Linked DNA regions of Caenorhabditis elegans. The protein of the gene in region 2 purifies or fractionates together with the protein of the main gene of each other region. This does not show direct contact. Each region holds a gene or a part of one and is shown on either strand. Other genes may lie near its edges. The genes, in order: F52E4.5, nhr-189, Y37F4.1 and clec-80.

Region 1 (3,775 bases), on a different chromosome or scaffold from region 2:
TTGTTCCATTATTTGAACTATGTTTATGTTTTGAAAAAAATCGGAGATTATAATAAAACCAACCAGAAAATTTTAGATTTTTTTAATGTTTTAGCAATCTGCCAAATAACAAAAAAGAGCTTTTGAGGAAACACAGAGCAATATTGCATGTTCTAACCCCTAAAATGTTTTACAACAAATAATTAAATCAAATTTAAAGTATAAAAATCGTAGAACTTTTTTTTTGGTCGACTTCCAAAGTTATGAGTGCAAAAACTGAGCGATTGCACGTGGTGTCAGGTTGTCCCATAACAGTTTGATCTACAAAAAATGCGGGAATTTTTTCCCCGAAAAATGTGACGTCAGCTCATTCTTAACCATGCGAGACCAGTTGAGAAGTCTGCGTCTAAATTCCCGCAGTTTTGGTAGATCACAACGAAATGGGACATTCTGACACCACGTGCGATTGTCACTTTTCGACAGTAAATGAAAACTTTAAAAAAATTTTGAAAACTTTTACTATGATATTCAAATATTTTGACACTATAGCGAAAAACCAACATAAGCCAAAGTTTTGTCTTTAGAACAAAACATTGAATTTAATTTCAGAGGAATTAGAAATTGGGATTCTCGTTCCAGATCCTTACTGCCTGGTTTCCAATTATGGTAATTGCGTATTTAGTCTAAATTGATTGAGCTTTAAAAAAACACTGTTTGACATAAATTTGTGTCTCAAAATCTATAAAACCTGCAATCTGTATATTCTTGAAAATGAATTTTTTTTTTCGAAAATTCAGAAGTCCGCAGCTTTGAAAATATCAGAGGATATCCATTTTGGTCACTGCCGAAATAAAGATTAGCTATGATTTAACAATGTGCTCGAATGTTTTATTTTCAGTACAATAACATAATTTATGCTGTATAACTGATGTTTTTTGGTAGCCTACAAGACATCAAACTGTTTAATTTTCAGATTTACCACTTTTAAAGTAGGTACTTCTACTTTTGATCAAAACTTCTTTGTATTTACAGTACACAGACAAAAGCAAATACCAAATTCCCCGTAAATGTTCGCAGCAAATACTACTGCTATTGACCAAATACGTCAAGTTCCATTTTGATTCACTTTCACCCTTCTTTGCAGTATTATGAATAAAGTTTTTTTTTGGACAATCGTGTTGTTGTTCACTGTGAGAATTACATAACAATATTTTCCGACAGTGTTCATTCTTTCCATGGAAATTTCATGAAGAATATTTGATTTCGCAATATTGTTTATTCTCCCAATTTTCCCACAATGAGTCACTGGCCACCTGGCAAACAACACGTATAAAACTGGACTTCCCCAATAGAAATACACCGCTCTCTAAGCCATTTTTGCCTCTCACCTTGCGCATTTATCGATTTTTGGATGTGTTTTCTTTTGAGTTGTTGAGAATATATTATTGAAACCTCACATAAAATATTATATGTCCAATTATGTTCTATAAATTTTTCATTTTATTCGGCAAAGAGTCGTTTCGTAATGTTTTGCGAATATGTTTTGCAACCAGTTTTCTAGAAATCTTCTAAGGACTTCTATGTCTAAATGTCTTTTTGAACCGTCAATTCTATAGAAGAACGAATTGAGTTCAACCTTTGGCCGTTTGCCCAGAACATCTTCCTTTTTCTCTTTTTACTTCCTGGTTTCCGACTTCACCTGCCGCGTTTATAAACTTTCTTCCGTTTTTGTTATATTCAGATGTTTGTACTAATTCTTTTTGATTTAAAATGTATGTTTTCAGTTGATCATGTCTGAGAAAATTGCTGAAGGTTTTGGAAACAACGGAGAGCTATGCGAATATCACTATTCGTTCGTTCAAGACGGAAAGTTGACTTTGGTGGGGCGCAAATGTGAGCATTTATATACATTTTTTTTCAAATTTAGAACAATTTTCTTGTTTAGACGTCGCTCAACCAAATCACAACTGGGGACATCGCGTGGCTTTTGCAGGAACTTACGTTCTGACTTTTGATAAGGAATCCAACAAATGGGAGAGACATGATGTGAGTTTGCCTTGTTTTCCTGGTCATTTCAGACCTAAACAATTTCAGTTCCCGGAGCTCGTAAGCGAAGAAAACTCGGAAGAAGTGTTGTTTGTTCGTGACAATCAGCTTTATCTTCTCGCTTTTGTCAATTTTGGAGCAATTGGATTCCAAAAGTTGTTCAGATGGGATAGTAATTCTTTCAATGAGGTTTTGTTAAATGTGAGTGATTCTGTGATTAGAATTTTGTTTCAAAATTAATTTAAAGTATTACTTCTGTAAGTTTTTTTTTTAGTTTAAAATTCGATATGGTACATATAAACCTAAAGTGTACGTATAGACCCATAGACTGTCAGCATATGAACAAGCTTTGGAAATTGACTTTTTTTCGAACCATCATCCTTTATTAGATATACACCACAATGTTTTTTCAGGCCCCAGAAACCAAAACCCTCACTGAGACTCAAAGATTTGAAGTTATCGCTGCTGCTGGAACTTCTTCAAATGGTGAAACTATTCTTCTTCTCAAAGACGACAATTGTCACATTCAAATCTATTCTCTCACTGTCAATGGAGCTTCTTCTACTGTCGAAAACATCTCGCAAATTCACTCTGATGACAACCATTTGGTAACGAAGATTGTTCAAGAATTTTATAATATTAAAAATTGTTTTCAGAGAGGATCTCCAGTAATTGCTGAGACTGTCAATGACAAAGTGCTCATTAGCTACGCTGTTCATGGATGTGGATTCAATTGGGAGAAAACTCGTTTCTTCGTTTTTGACTTGAAATCAAAAACAGCTCGTCATGTTGATATTGAAGGAGAGTACAGTTCTCTTCCCCAATACGGTTTCGTTGGTCCAAACTGCTCATTTGTTGACAAGAAGACCAATTCTTTCATTGTCGCTGGTGGCCGTGTTCAAAAAGGAATGACGGGAAGCGCTTTCTACGGAGCCGTTTGGGCTCTCAAAGGAAACATTTTTGACGATAAGTCTACTTTGGAGTGGGTCCAACTTCCTCAAACTGTCGAAGAGGGAGAGCATATTTTTGACGGTTCAACTCTTTACACTGTTAACAAAGCTGCAGTATCAAAAGTTCAACTTGATTCGATCTAAATTGTTTAATGTTTTAATGTATTTAAAATTATATTTTAACCTACTGTGATTTATGGGAATCTCTGAAATAATTTCTGCCAGTAATAAAATTGAAATAATTGGATTGGGAGTAAGTTTTATGTTTGACAATTGAATAAATATTCAGTACAGTTATTCTAATATTTATTTGGAATTGTAGTTTTGTCGGCTTTTACCTAAAATATCGATATTTAATACTGTATCATGCGCAGTAAACTTTATTCCATTTATTAGTTTGAGAAAGAATTCAAACTTGAATTGCCCCAAATATTCAAATATCCGAAGCTCTAAACTCCACGAGTTTATAGAATTACAAACATTTGGACAATTGGCGTTTTCGGCAGTCAGCAACTTTGATAATTGCTAAAATTACCACAGCAGTTAGGCAGTAGTTCAAAATATGCCCTCAAAAAAAAATTATAAATTCATAATTGGAACTCGAAATTTCTGAAATAAAACTTTTTCTGTTCTATTTGCAAAATTGTGTATCAACGGAATATATGTTCAACTAGTTTTTTCACATTGGTCTGAAAATCAAAATTTGTAAAAATGCAGTAATAATATGTATACATTATTTATTTAAACAAAATACAAAATCTGCGGCAATTTGTAAAACTCTTCGCAGGACTACGAATCTC
Region 2 (4,099 bases):
ATAAAGCAAGATTAAGCTCATTTTCTCAAGCTCTCATTTTCTGGGTCTCTCATTTATAATTTAGGAAATGAGGAGAAAAGCAGCTGCACAATAATGTTCAAGGAATATGACGTAAGTGCAAAAGATCAAATTATGAAAGCTGGGAGCTTGATATTAAAAGCTGACCGAGGTTTTAATATCAAGCACTTTTGGCAGTTTGGTTTAAAATATTTTTCCTTTTGGAAAATGACCAAAAAATATGCGGAAAATATTTTGTGAAAGGCTAGCCACAGTTTTACCATGCATATAAAAAAGGTTGAATATTTTCAAGGTTTGTTAAAATTATATAATTTTTTTTAAATCTTCTGATACCCATTTGTTCGATAGAGCAGATTTGCAGTATTGCTGTTGTGATGATCAATGCCGGCAATTGATGATTTATGAAATTATCGGCAATTTGGCATTTGGCAAAATTTTAGATTGCTTCAATTTTCAGCAGTTTTCAAACTTAATTATATATTTTTTAATTAAAAAAAAACTATAAAAAACGGATTTTTACAAAAATTTTACAACTTAAGAAACACCTTTATACATTAATACAAATATCAATCAACAATTTTTTCAATTTAACTTGTGGCATGTACATCTGGCAAAGTGTTGTGAGACTGTTAGCGTCTTCCGATGTCTTATTGATAACATGTGATAGTGACAGAAGGTCCGCAAATCTAGAAGGACCCGATTGTTGGTAGGTTAAAAGGCAATATTGAAGAAGGGCAGAACTATATGACTTCTGGCGGGTTGCTAGGAGTCTTCGAGTTCTTTCAGATAACGGGTGGATGGCTGAAAATTGCTTTTTTCAAAAATTAACTTATGAATTGGGTTAAATTGAAAAATTAAATTACCTGGATTACAAAACAGCAAAAAATTTAGCAAAGCGTGCTCCTGCTCGGTAACTTTGAGCTCTTCAACGCGAACCACTAAACTGCTCCGTATGCTGTTTAGAAAATCAATAGAGAACATTGCCAACCTGGGAAAAAAATATAGTTTTTTATTCCAGAAAATTGCAACTTACAGCAAATCCGAGTAAACTTCATTACCATCAGGCGTTATCACTCTATCAACTTTGGCATTCAGAGACCTCATCGCACTATCAAGTTGCATAGATTTTGAAGAGAAATTTCGAAGTAGAACAATCTATAAATTGCGTTCCGTTTTATTGAGATGACTGTCGATGTAATTTTGAAATTTCCGGCAAATCGGCAAACCAGTAGATTGCCGGAATTGAAAATTTCAGGCAAATCGGCAAATTGCCGGGATTAAAAATTTCCGGTAAATCGGTAAAACGGCAATAAGCCAAGTTTTCGAATGTGCCGAAAAAACGGCCATTGGCGAACATTTTTGGCAAACTGTGGTTTTGTACCTTTTTTTTGGAAGGTTCAGAATTTCAAATTCAATCGGCAAAGTTTTACGCATTCTATGAATGTTCCTACATCTATTTTGAAAAGCAAGCAAATTCTATGAAAATATCAAAAGAAAACGGAAAAGCAATTTCAAAAAGGCACAATTTTGACCCCTGGTGCATTTACCGTACCGCTCACCCCTGGTGCATTTACCGTACTCCTACAGTAAGAAACCTAATCGAGAAAGACCAACCTTATCATCATTCTCAATAGAATTCATAAAATCCAAACTCAAAAACATTTCAACGGCAATATAAATAGCTTGAAAACTCCATTCCTCTACTGATATCACTTGTTTTCCAGTTTTTCGCTTCATCCTTGATCGCTTAGTTCTTTGAACCATATCTTCCAGTGTTGGATCCTCAGAAGTGTAGAAATTGCACAATTTGAAGCGTTTTGTGGAGTTTAAAAACATAACATTTTTAATTAGAGAATCCGATTTAAAATCGGGATGGATCAAGTCAGGAAGTTGTATCTTCTCGAGTTGACCTAGCGTCATCCCAAGTTGCAAGCATTTTTCGAAGCGGCACGCTTTGCATTGAAGAATTGGCTGACCGGCTGTAAATAAATTTATTGAAAACTGTGTGCAAATAAAAATAGCTACAATTTTCAAGGCACATGTTCCATTTCTTGCAGTGGTAGGTTAACTGCTCAATCACAACGCGGCGGAAGAACATTTTGCACGCATTGCACGAGAGAACCTGAAATTTATATGTTGTTTAAAAAGCTTTTAGACAAAACAAATATAGTAAAAACATATTTACCCCATAGTTATGACAGGATGCATCTCTCCCACAAATTGTGCATTTCGGAGCATTACTGGTACTCAATTCCATAGCCAAGCTTGGCAACTCATCAATATCTTCCATTTTGAATAAGGAAATCAGTGAGCAAAATGAAAAAAAGAATAAAGCAGGATTTGCTCTTTTTAACAGGCTTTGACTTCCTCGGTCTCTTTTTATATAATTAAAGAGTCGTGGGGAGACAGCTGAACTAGAATGTTCTAAGAACATGTTTATAGATAGGACATAAGATCAAACAACGAAAAAAGTGATCGTACATAGATTTATAGATTTCTGAAAATAATAATTTTTAGTCACGGCTATTTTGAGGGTGTCAATAAGCTCCGGCTCAAAATACACACATTTTTCCGTAACATTTTGGATTGACAAATGTTTGAAAATTTTTGTAAGTGATATTTAATTTAAAAGAAGTGTTATATATGTAACACTTTGGAATTTCTTTAATTTTTAAATTAATTTTAAATTTTTTTTTCAAAAGTTGCAAATTGGTGGCAAATTAATTTGAGAGAAGCTGTTTTTGCACATAAAAAATGAAATTTTTGAGTGCAGGTGAACATTTTGGAAACTTATTTGGAAAATTTCATTGGAAAATTAAAAAAATAATGAGAAAGAACCGAATCTTTTATTTTTGGATCTAGTTTGGTAAAAATTTCACTTTTTTTCCAAAAAATACAACGGTGGAATAGGTTTATGTGCATCTAGAATAATGAAAAAAAATTCAGATCTATTTTTCGGATCATTAGGCCAGTTTTTGCTAGAATATTTTTGAATAACCATCTGTTAAATACCAATTTTTTCAACGTTCAAAAAAAATTTTATTAATTTTTTAGAAATTATGTTTGAAGCTCAGAAACTCACATTTAATAATGATTTTTATGAGAAAGAGTGGAAAAAATTACAAGCAATATTTTGAGATCAGAAAAAACATTAAAGTTCAACGGTAAAAAAAATTTAAATTATAACAGAAACCAGATTTTTGTACTTGACATGAAAATGAAATTGAAAAATCCAGTAGAGATATTGTACGTCTTCATAATACTTGTTGGTAACTGTGCACAGTGAGAGAAGTTCCGTGAAACGAGACGATCCATTATGCTGATAGGAGAGCTTACAATATTGCATGAGCGCGGAGCCATAGGCTTTTTGTTGCTCTGTGAGCACGGCTACTGCGCTTTCGGAGAGGTCGTCGAGAGCTGGAAATTTTTTGAAATTATCAACAAAAAAAACGGATTTTTGAACTAAATATTACCAGGATTACAAAAGAACAATACTGTAATCAAAATAAACTCCTCATTAGTGATGTTCAGCTCGATAAGCCTGTTAACTAGCAGGCTTCTGATACGGTTTGTGTAGTGGAGTGAGAAGTCGGACCATCTGAAGAATGATATTTTAATTTTTTTAATTTTAAAATTAATAAGTGAAAACTCACTGGGACAAAAATTCCACGAAAAAATCTTTTCCATCGGGCTTTATCATTTTATCGTTTTTGGCTCGCATAGTTCGAATTGCACTGAACAACAGGGTAGCCTTGGCAGAATAGTTGGCGAGGAGAAGAGACTGAAAAAATAGTAAGTTGAAAAGTCTCTACAGCTTTTTTTTTTGAAAAGTGCTCCCAAAGTAAACCTCTAATCGTGTAATCCTACAGTAATACTTCTGCAGTTCTAAAATATTAATATTCCGTACAATAATTTCAAAGAAATGCCCCAATGCTCTCGAGTTAGTCCACAGTATCCCTTCAGTACTCATACCGTAATTCCAAAATATCAAAAATCACCTTATCTCTAGTGCTCAGCTTCTTCATAAAACCGAGTCCAAGCAAAAACTTCACAGCAGTATATGCTCCAAAGAAGCACCAAT
Region 3 (4,887 bases), on a different chromosome or scaffold from region 2:
TGCAAGTCAAACAAATTGGATAAGAAGAAAGATGGAAAAAAGGAGAAATAATGTCGAGAAGGTTGAAGCACTGAAGTAGACTATAGCACTTGAGAGAATAAAATGTGATTCATTTCTGTTCTGTTTTCAGCGTAAATTTATTGTTAAAGCTAGGGGTGTTGTGTGGGACGTGATGAGCCACCCCATAGCAACCTTAGCTATTCAAAAAACGTTTCCAAAATGCCATTCGAAAAAAGTGAAATAGCGGGCGAATGTTGAGGCGATGGAGAGGGATAGAATCCGGGTTGCGCGGCAATTGCGTTATTATGGGAGAGATCACATAGTTTCTACATCTTTTCACTAAAATTTAATGAAAAATATTGGGAAAACACATCTCTGCCTGAAATTGTAGAATTACCCGTCGGCAATCGCCGCGCACCTTTTGGTGGAATCAGGGGTGCCTTGTGGCTGATGTGGCTGTAAACTGATGACTAAAATCAAATATAACACATTTGAAGTTGCAAGCAATAAAAATCACATAATTCTTTATTCGGACAAGTTTCATTTGGATTTCAATGGCTTTTCTTTACTCTTTGGCAGTGCTCTATCATCAAATATTGGGATAGCTTCAGCAATGGATTTGTGGAAGAGAATTGAATCGTCACGAAACCTTAAAATTTTTTTTTTTCGGGGAGTAGTTCCAAAACTTACTTCAAAACTGCATCCGCGTGTTTCCCCTTCTGCTCATTAATCGACTTATTGATAAAGTCAATAACCTTCTGTCTGCACTCATTCCTCCATGTCTGAGCATTTCCCGCCGCGAGTTCGGCTTGCTCCGTTCGCTCCTTATTCTGCTGACTGATTGCGTCGTCGTAGGTTTCCAGCGAGAGCCAATAAACTGAAATTTTTTATTTAGATTCATATTATAGACCCTTTTATTCTTACTCTTTCGAAGCCTTGCGTACTCCCAATAGTCGACGCCAATGAATTTTGTCAACGCCGACAAGTTTTCCAGATGCCTTTGGACTTGCTTTGCTTGTATGGAATCCAGATTGAGCAAGGTTTGGATAGCCGGTTCTAAGCTCTGAAATTTGTGTCCTTATTATCAGGTGCCATTCCATAAGCCAAAAAATTGGGGAGCCTAAGCCTGATTACCTGGGCTTAAATGGTTTATTTGAAAAGCCTAAGCCTACATTTTAACATTTAAAAGCCCTTAGCCTAAATTGTTAAGCCTAAAAATCCAAGCCTAGAAAATATACCAAATTTCTTAGGTGCAAAAAAGTCGTTCCAACTTCCTCGATTTTCAACAGGATTCGCTCTAGAAACTGAATGTCGCGTCACTTTTCTGATCAATTCTGCAACTAAACTCACATCCATTTCTTTGGGGTCAACCTTCGTACCCAACTTTCTTCCTTTCTGATTTATCGCCTGATACGTCTTTAGATACTGCCCAGCGTACTGATAATTCGTATCAGCTTTCATAAGTTCCTGATTCTCAACGAACATTTGAATCAGTGCCTGATGAAGTCGATCTGCGGCTTCTTTATAAGCTTCAACTTGATTGCAAAGCTTCTTCACGTCATCAGTCATCGAAAACAAGCGATTCTTTTTCTTCAGAATCGACGAAAATACACCGTGATTTGGATGGTCCTGAAAACTCTCTTTTTTTTTCGGTTTCGGATTTCGGTTTCGGAGGCATCCAAAAACTTACAGCTAATCCATAAAATAATTTCTGAGCGATTGGCTTTTCATAGCAGCTACTCGTACTCTTCTTGTTTGCCATTAAAAATATAAAATAACTGAGATTGAGATTTCATGTCTGATAAACAAGTATGTTTGTCATCATAAAATGTGTCACGTAACAAAGCAATTTAAATTAGTAATTTTTTGTTTTATTTTTAACATTTTTTAGAAAATATTTGTGATTGAAATTTTGTGAAAAAATTTGAAATTTTTGCTTACTATTAGCTCCGTGTTTTACCAGTTAAATTGCTCCAAAGGCGGTTTTTGAAATTTTCTGTGGAAACTTTCTATTCAACAAAAAATCTAAACAGTTCTCTGGAAATTGTTCTATAGTTTTATGTATTATATTATTTAAAATTTTTATTATTTTTTTATTATATTATTTTAAAATCCGGGTTTGCAGATTTTATCATTTTTAAGATTAATATAAACCTACTGATTGACAAATTCCAAAATCTTAAATTTGTTTAACTGTACGCTTTTTAACATTTTCATACTTCTTGAACAATTTCAAATCATTTTTCTAGACAAATTTGCATGAGGCTTTCCCTATATATGTATTTTGAAAACTAAAATATAATATAAAGCGTTTATACCTTTTAACTACAGTATCCAAAAACATGATAAATATAGAAATTTGGATAACTTTTTGCTTTATTATGAAGCAATTTCATTCAGAGTCCAAATTTTAATTCTCCCACAATATTCAATCAGTGGCCGCTTACACATTAGCAGTGAAATGTTAGTCAGCAACTACATATCCTGTGGTCTGAGATAATCTGTACATGGAAAAATTAATCTAATTGTATGTAAGTGTCAAATCTTTCCCTCTTTGAATATGATATTTGATCCTTATGATTCAAACCAAAACGTTTCCCTTCTTTTCCTATTCATATGATTCACGCCAACCCCAATATCATTATAATTCGATTAAAAACAGACCTATATAAGTTCCTTCTTTTATATTATATTATATAATACCAATGCTTCCTTTCTAGATGTAGACCGCTATCTTCCCCTTTTCTTCTCTTTAATTGTAATTCAGTATTATATTCTTCTAAATAAATTAATCTCAAGAATTCATTTCTTGATAGTAAGTAAATAAAATAAATAATTCAAGCAGAAACAGACGACTATAGCATGAAGCACCCCCGGAAACCAGCAGAGGATGCAGAAACAAAGGTTGAGCCAAACTGACAGAGAGCATCTTTCCTCTTTCACGTAGACGGCGATTGGCGGAAAAATTAAAATGAGCAGAATGTAACAACACGGGCCGGTTTCTTTCATTTCAGCAAGATAGTGTTGCACAAAATATGAAAAATTAAGTTGTTTGGACAACCTTATATACTGGAGGAGTCTGTTAACGGTCATAAACCGGTGCCACAGCTTATGGTTAAACATCATGCAAAAACACTTTGATTGTGTGCTAAAGCATTTATTGAGTCGTTGCTGTGCCAGACGACGAGAGTCTTACTTTCGTCCGGCGCCAGCAGGCAAGGTCTTTCTCGACTGAGGATGTTATTCTCTAGTCGGCTTATATACTCGTGAGGGCGTGACGCTCCCTGCTCAGAGGCCGCGTGGGCGTTAGAGTCATGCGCTTTATGCACGTCTCCAAAGTCCACTCAGTGCAACATGAGAAGTGATCATAGAACACTTCCACAAGTCTATAAACTTTCAGCATCCGTGAAGATAAACTTTTCTTGATTTCAGATATTTTTGTTTAATAATTTGAACTGTAGATTTAAGAAAAAGTAAAATAAGTGCAAGATTGCTTTCTAAAGGGATCTCGAACTTAACACAATTTGGACTTCTTGCTGAAGTTATGAATTGATGGGTTTACCCTGCAACTGAGCCAACGCAACATTTTCAGTGCAAAAAACACATTTTTGGTTTTTTTTATTTCAAAAAAATATTTATAACTATCAACAATGTGACTAAAATAAACTTATAAATTATTTTTTCAGCAACTAGTAGTCTGATTCAGAACTATCGTCTTTTTCATCCGAAACTTCGTCCGGTTCCGTTGGATTGCCCATTAGCTCAGCTATTTTTCGAATTTGCTCTATTTCTGGAAAAACTTTATTGAATTATTGGGACTAAACTTTTAAAATTAAAAATCAAAAATCAAAAAACTTTTTTTAAATCGATTTTTCTACATACCATTTCTTGAATTGAGTATCCTTTTTCCTACATAGCAAAGCTTTTTAAAAGTTCAAATTTGTTTGTAAACCTTCAATTAAAAAAAAAATTTTTAAGACTAGCGCACAAAGTGCGCTATCCCTTCGGGAGTGGGGATAGGGTTATTTCGCTCTAAAGTATCAACAAGGTAGCTGGCGCAGGTTCTCGGCTTTGCCTCAAACCTGTGTTGGGGTTAAGTGTGTTCACCTTGAAATTCAAAATATATTCCAAAGATTTGTTTCTAATTTAATATTTTGAAAAATCATTTAGCGGCTCCGGCGCTTTAGTTTTCAGTTCCTCTAAGATTAAAGAAATATTCTAAGGAGTTGTTTCACATTGAAATATTCTTAAAAATTATTTGGGCGCTAAGTTGAATCTTCTCTAAGATTAGAAAAATATTCTAAGGAGTTGTTCTAAATTCAAAAATTCCTAAGAGTTATCAGCGCCTTCGGCGCTGAATTTTTCAAAGTTTCTGAAATAAAGAAACATACTAAGGAGTTGTTTCTAATTTAAAACTTTGAAGACTTATTCAGCGCCTTCGTCGCTGATTTGAACTATTTCTAAGATTGATGGAATATGCTAAGGAGTTGTTTCTAATTTAAAAATTTTGAATAATTATTTAGCGCCCTGGGCGCTGAATTTTCAGTTTCTCTAAGATGAAAGAAATATGCTGAAAAGATTTTTCAATTTTAAAAAGAAAATGTAAAAACATAAAAGATATTTCGAAAACTTTGATGAGGAGATGAAATGTTAGTTTTTTTTCATAACTTTTTCATTTTTAAAGCTGGAAAAAAATCTTACATATTTGAATTCAGCGTCAAATTCTGAGTCTATTAAAAAAAACAGAATTAAAATTAAACTTAAACAAACCAATTAACAAACGCTCAAAGTTGAAAAATCAAAAATCAAAAAAGGCATTATTTTTCTATTCGGTCGATTATCTCTGTGATGTATGACTCGATTTTCAAAATTTTTTTCGTCTCTCGC
Region 4 (5,023 bases), on a different chromosome or scaffold from region 2:
TACGTGGCCGCTAAAAGAGCATAGTTCGGCCATCAGTTGATTTTTACAAAACCATAAGTTCCATTACATTTCAAAGTACTGTTTGGCTCTCAATTTGCACGTAGCTAGTGCGATGAGGAATTTTCCTCTGACTGCCCTAACTAAACTCTATCGTGGTTTTTAACCCGCTTTTTCGAGCTTCTTATCAATTCCTCTTTCTTTTTTTCTTTTCTCGTAATATTACCATCCCTTCCAGCAATTTTGAAAATGAAACAATTTCTACTAATTTTACTATTTTTTACTTCTTTAGCTGCTGCCCAACAGTGTTGGGATAGTTCAGATAGACTGATCAACGGGAGGTTAGTATTTTAACGGAAAATTGTAAAATAAGCTGTTAAGTTCTATAATTGAGAAATAAATTGTTTAAATATATGCAATGCAAAAATTAACTTAAAATAAATGTTTCAAGCTCGAGATACGAAAATATTTTTTTTAATTCCAAAAAGTTGAAAATCTGATAACTATTGTGTTTTTTCAAGTGTACTTTGAGAGTAGTAGGCACAAAAATTGTGAGTAGGCGCGTAGGTAGGCAGGCAGGCCGTGCCTACTTGGATGGCACACCGTATGTTTCGTGTATTTTCAGATGCTATAAACTTGTCAACCAACAACTTTCCTACCAGGACGCCCGGTCCTGGTGTCGTTACCAGAATTCCGTGGTATCATATTTGGCAACTGTTTCGGATCAAATAACGGCGAGCTTTTTGGCATGTAAGGTTTTTGAGAGTTAATGAGTGGTTATAGGTAGGCATGAAGTAGGTGTCAAGGTAGGCGCGTGAGGTGGGTACAAAGGTATGCAGGCATGAGGTAGGTAGATGTGATGTAATCGGGTGCGGTGGGTTTGTAGGTATTTAGGCATGATGTAGGTTTGAAAATACACCATTAGGCTAAAAATAGACACGTAGTTTTGCTTACATGAGGTAGGCATAAAGTATCCAGGCATGATCTAGGCACAAAATAGGTACATAGGGGGGATGCAGGCCTGAGATAAATAGGCGTGATGTAGTCAAGTGCTGTTGGTTAGGAGGTATCCTGATGTTGTCACGAAAGTACACTAATAGGCACGTAGGTTTGCATACATAAGGTAGGCATAATATACATGAGCAGGCATGATGTAGGCATAAAGTAGGTACAAAGACAGACAAGCATATGGTAGGTAGGCATAAAGTAGGTATGTGAAATTGGTGTAGAGCTGACGCATAGGTAGACCTGAGTCATGAAGTAGGTACGTAGGTATGCAGATATAAAGTAGGTAGGCAGAATGTAGGCATGAGATAGGCATCAAGTAAACCGGTAGGTAGGCTCGTAGGTAAGGCCATAGGTAGACTACAAATCCAATTTTCAGCGTACGCCGTCACCGCATTTGGCTCAAACGAGGGAAGCTTCTGGATTGGTCTAAGCCGCTCAAGTTCCACATACAAATGGGATGACGGAACTCCCCTAGGCTGGACCAATTTCAATTATCAAAATTCTCAAGACTACGTGGCCGAAAGTGTGACGAATGCCAAATGGACCGCCTACAACAGTGAAACAGAACTGAAATTCGTGTGCTCCTACTATCCACTGATGCCAACCACTAACTTGGCGTCGTCTACAGATGCACCGCGTACTACAGAGGCATCTACTTATTGGACTTCCGAGACACTGACATCGTCGAGCACTTAAAGTCTACGGCCAACACCCATATTTTCCAAATTTCAAATTTTCTTATCAATGCTTCCTGTTACTTATCACCCAATATTATTACTTTTTCTGAAAAATTTTTCAGTTTTATTTTGTCATGAAAAATCTCATTTTACTTACCTTTTCCTCATTTTTCGCTATTTCTCATTGTCAGGCACAAAAGTGCAGTGATGATTCGGACAATTTAATTAACGGAAGGTAATCTAAATTTCAAAATTTTCAACAGAAAAAAAAAATCAATAATCAGATGCTACAAACTGGTGACTCAACAGCTCACCTACTCGGATGCTCGTGGCTTTTGCCACCAGGCGGACCCGGGGTACACTCTGGCTACGGTATTGGATAAGTCGACGGCTAATGTTTTGTCAGGTAGGGTAGAGAGGGTTTAGGGGCCTGCCTGCCTACCTACCTGCCTATTGCCTATGTGTCTTCATTTTGGCCCGATGCACGACTTCAACAAAAAAAAAAATTAGTTTTGTGTACAAATTTTGTAATTTTGAATTTCACGCCAAAATTTAATTTCAATTTTTTTAAACTTTAAACTTTGAACTAGGACTCCCAGCTGAGTAGGACGTGAAATGCGGGTGCAATGATGTACGAAAGGTAGTTATTTGGAGCGGCCGACATGTTCGGGGTTCCGCGCCGCACTATACATTCGACAACATGCGGCGTGGGATCATAGAAGCCCTTCTTTGTACCACAGTTTTTATTTTCCAGAAGTTTTCGAAATTTTACAATTCTAAAAAGTTTTAAAAACTTTCCAAATTCGCGTCAAGTGTTCACAAAATTCTATGAAAAATTTTGAATCTTGCGCCAGAATTCAGACAAATTTGAAATTTACCTTGTTTAAGCATGAAAAAGTTTATTGGTTTTTTCGAATCGCTTCAACATTAAAAAAACAATTTAAAAAAAAAACCAAAAATGCCTCTATTTTTTGGTTTTTTTAGTTGGAAAGCTACGCGAAAAAAAAATATTCAAAATTTTCGAACAAGTTTCCTTAAAATTCAAAAAAAAAACGTTAAACTCCAAAATTTCCAGTCCTCGCCCATTCCGTGTTCAACTCCAGCAACGGTGGGCAATTCTGGATTGGTTTGAGCAGAAATTCCACCGGGAGCCCATGGACATGGGATGACAAAAGTTCCTTCGGCTGGTCAAATTTCGGAACTCAACTAGGCCAAAACTATGTGGCACAGAGCAGTACGAACTCCAAATGGGGCACATTTGGTAGTACTGATAAGAATTATTTCGTTTGCAGTTATGACCCAGCTAGTGTGCCTACCACTGCGAAACCTTGTGGGTTTAATACTTGGAAACACTGTCAGAAAATATTTGAAATATTACCTACTTACAGTATCTTCTGTAACATGTCTAATTATGTATGACACACAGTCTCTCGGAATTGATCAAAATGCAATTAATTCTTATAAAGCGGTACGAAATCTTTTAGCGTTGTATTTAAACATTGGTGGTTCATATCTTAAGCGTATTTAAAATAGGGAACAAATATCAACCAACAAAAGTATTTGTTGTCGATTTTTCTATATTTTGATGATCAAAATATTTTGTAGCTTAAAAATAAGATATGATATGAGCTGTCAAAGTTGATAGGTTGATGCACCATGTGTAGAAACTAGTAACTAGGCTCTTCAATAACTTTTAACTAACATTCATAGCTATTCGTTTTGCTATGTCCTAATAGTAGAAACTTTGCTATAGCTCAAAAATAAACAACGATAGGCACCGGTGTGAAATCTAGTGTTTTCAATTTCGGGCCTTTTTTATCTCGATTCTTGTGAAATGTATCAAATAATTGTTACCAACCCAACAAATTATTGATCATTTGTTGTTATTTTTATTTTTAGAATTTGACATTTTTCGCTAGCATTAAAATTACACAAAACATGAGCCACAGAAGTTGAGCGGTCGATGCAGAATGTTAGAAGTCTAGTGTGCTCAGGCTCAAAGTCTGATGCCTCCAAATTTATTGAAAAAGTATCATCAACTGATAAAATATTTATGAGTTATTATTCTATCATTTAATAGTAAAATGCGATATTAGCTGTCAAAGTCGAAAGGTCGATGCACCAAGCTAAAAATCTAATGGGTTCAACTATGTAGTTACTAAAGTAAAACAATACATCAGAGATTTACTAACTTTTCAGTACTTCAACTTTGCCCATCTTGTCGCTAGCAAACTGAATGACAAGACAATGCTAACCGGCTACATTGACAATTACGGGTACTCTGCTGGGCTTAATGATCATCAAAACTACCCTACTGATGATTTTTTTGATTTAAGAGGAATTCCGTTCCCAATTGACGGCACTGACGATGATATCGATTTAGATCTGAAAGAGTTAGTGGGGATTATTGTCCTTAAAAGTAACAATCGTTTGAAATTCAGTGTCGACGGATCTCTAGCAGCCGCTTCTTGGACCCCACCAGTCACAGATCAAACATGCATGATATTTATATCAGCTGCGTGAGTTTTCGTGAAATTGGACTGACAACCAAATACTTATAAGCTCTCATTTTCCAGCCCAGAAGCCGAATACGGTGGTACCACAATCAAATCCACCTACTCCTCCTTTGGTACAGTAGTCGGAGTACTGGTTGGTGGAGCCACTTCAATTCCTGGGCTCTCAATTGACACAAATGTGATTGCTGCTCCAGCGTTGTCGGATTCGGACGCCGATGCTGTTGTGAGCAAGCTCCTGGAGCTGTTACCTACAGCTTAACTATTTTTTCCAAATTTACTTGGTGTACCGAGAAAATAAAGATCCTTCTGTCCAATTGAACATGTGCCAAATTGCGTATATTAATATATCAAAAGATATCAATCACAGTTGTGTTCTAATACACAGAAATAACTTGAAATTTGAAATATTCCCGATAAAACAAATTAATAAAAAAGGCCACATTTTTTGGTAAAAAAATCAATTTGAAGTTTAAAAAAAAAAAATCTTCGTAAAAATATGTCATTACCAGAAAACTTGCCATTTTAGATACCAATTGCAATTTTGTTCTAATACACAGAAATAACTTGAAATTTGAAATATTCCTGTTTTTTTCAATATGCAACTAATCATTAAAAATTTTGAAATTATTTTTGGTTGCTCATATTTGTGCAGACAAAAAGTGTCCTAGCAATAAAAATTGCAAATTTTTTGTATTTTCAGATGAGTGTACAACCGTTTCTGTAGCTACGATATTCATTTCAAAAAACCCGAAAGTTGTAAAATAATGAGTAAAGTAAAATAATTGGTGAAGCCAGAGAGTAAAATAATTGGTGAAGCCAGAGAGT

Evidence for each region.
Region 1: the proteins of nhr-189 (region 2) and F52E4.5 fractionate together in Caenorhabditis elegans (co-fractionation; one large-scale study listed by BioGRID). This does not show direct contact.
Region 3: the proteins of nhr-189 (region 2) and Y37F4.1 fractionate together in Caenorhabditis elegans (co-fractionation; one large-scale study listed by BioGRID). This does not show direct contact.
Region 4: the proteins of nhr-189 (region 2) and clec-80 fractionate together in Caenorhabditis elegans (co-fractionation; one large-scale study listed by BioGRID). This does not show direct contact.

What each region holds. Positions count from the first base shown.
Region 1 is NC_003284.9:3,085,326-3,089,100, reverse strand, and holds F52E4.5 (Fucose-specific lectin), read left to right. Parts: upstream 1-1,755; 5' UTR 1,756-1,769; coding exon 1,770-1,872; intron 1,873-1,924; coding exon 1,925-2,025; intron 2,026-2,073; coding exon 2,074-2,226; intron 2,227-2,438; coding exon 2,439-2,633; intron 2,634-2,681; coding exon 2,682-3,119; 3' UTR 3,120-3,273; downstream 3,274-3,775. Other genes in the region: twk-16 (Potassium channel domain-containing protein), read right to left, coding at 3,765-3,775.
Region 2 is NC_003283.11:3,857,896-3,861,994, forward strand, and holds nhr-189 (Nuclear Hormone Receptor family), read right to left. Parts: upstream 2,349-4,099; 5' UTR 2,309-2,348; coding exon 2,204-2,308; intron 2,141-2,203; coding exon 2,044-2,140; intron 1,998-2,043; coding exon 1,633-1,997; intron 1,174-1,632; coding exon 1,052-1,173; intron 1,007-1,051; coding exon 882-1,006; intron 820-881; coding exon 566-819; 3' UTR 540-565; downstream 1-539. Other genes in the region: nhr-187 (Nuclear Hormone Receptor family), read right to left, coding at 3,194-3,435, 3,492-3,616, 3,672-3,799, 4,017-4,099.
Region 3 is NC_003279.8:10,856,423-10,861,309, reverse strand, and holds Y37F4.1 (BAR domain-containing protein), read right to left. Parts: upstream 3,224-4,887; 5' UTR 2,665-3,223; intron 2,502-2,664; 5' UTR 2,319-2,501; intron 1,799-2,318; 5' UTR 1,763-1,798; coding exon 1,691-1,762; intron 1,630-1,690; coding exon 1,351-1,629; intron 1,064-1,350; coding exon 925-1,063; intron 878-924; coding exon 691-877; intron 650-690; coding exon 541-649; 3' UTR 512-540; downstream 1-511. Other genes in the region: Y37F4.5 (START domain-containing protein), read left to right, coding at 1-51; Y37F4.2 (Sec-independent protein translocase protein TatA), read right to left, coding at 3,690-3,790.
Region 4 is NC_003282.8:2,823,560-2,828,582, forward strand, and holds clec-80 (C-type lectin domain-containing protein), read left to right. Parts: upstream 1-1,804; 5' UTR 1,805-1,816; coding exon 1,817-1,917; intron 1,918-1,966; coding exon 1,967-2,088; intron 2,089-2,757; coding exon 2,758-3,012; intron 3,013-3,070; coding exon 3,071-3,150; intron 3,151-3,881; coding exon 3,882-4,075; intron 4,076-4,123; coding exon 4,124-4,201; intron 4,202-4,258; coding exon 4,259-4,457; 3' UTR 4,458-4,510; downstream 4,511-5,023.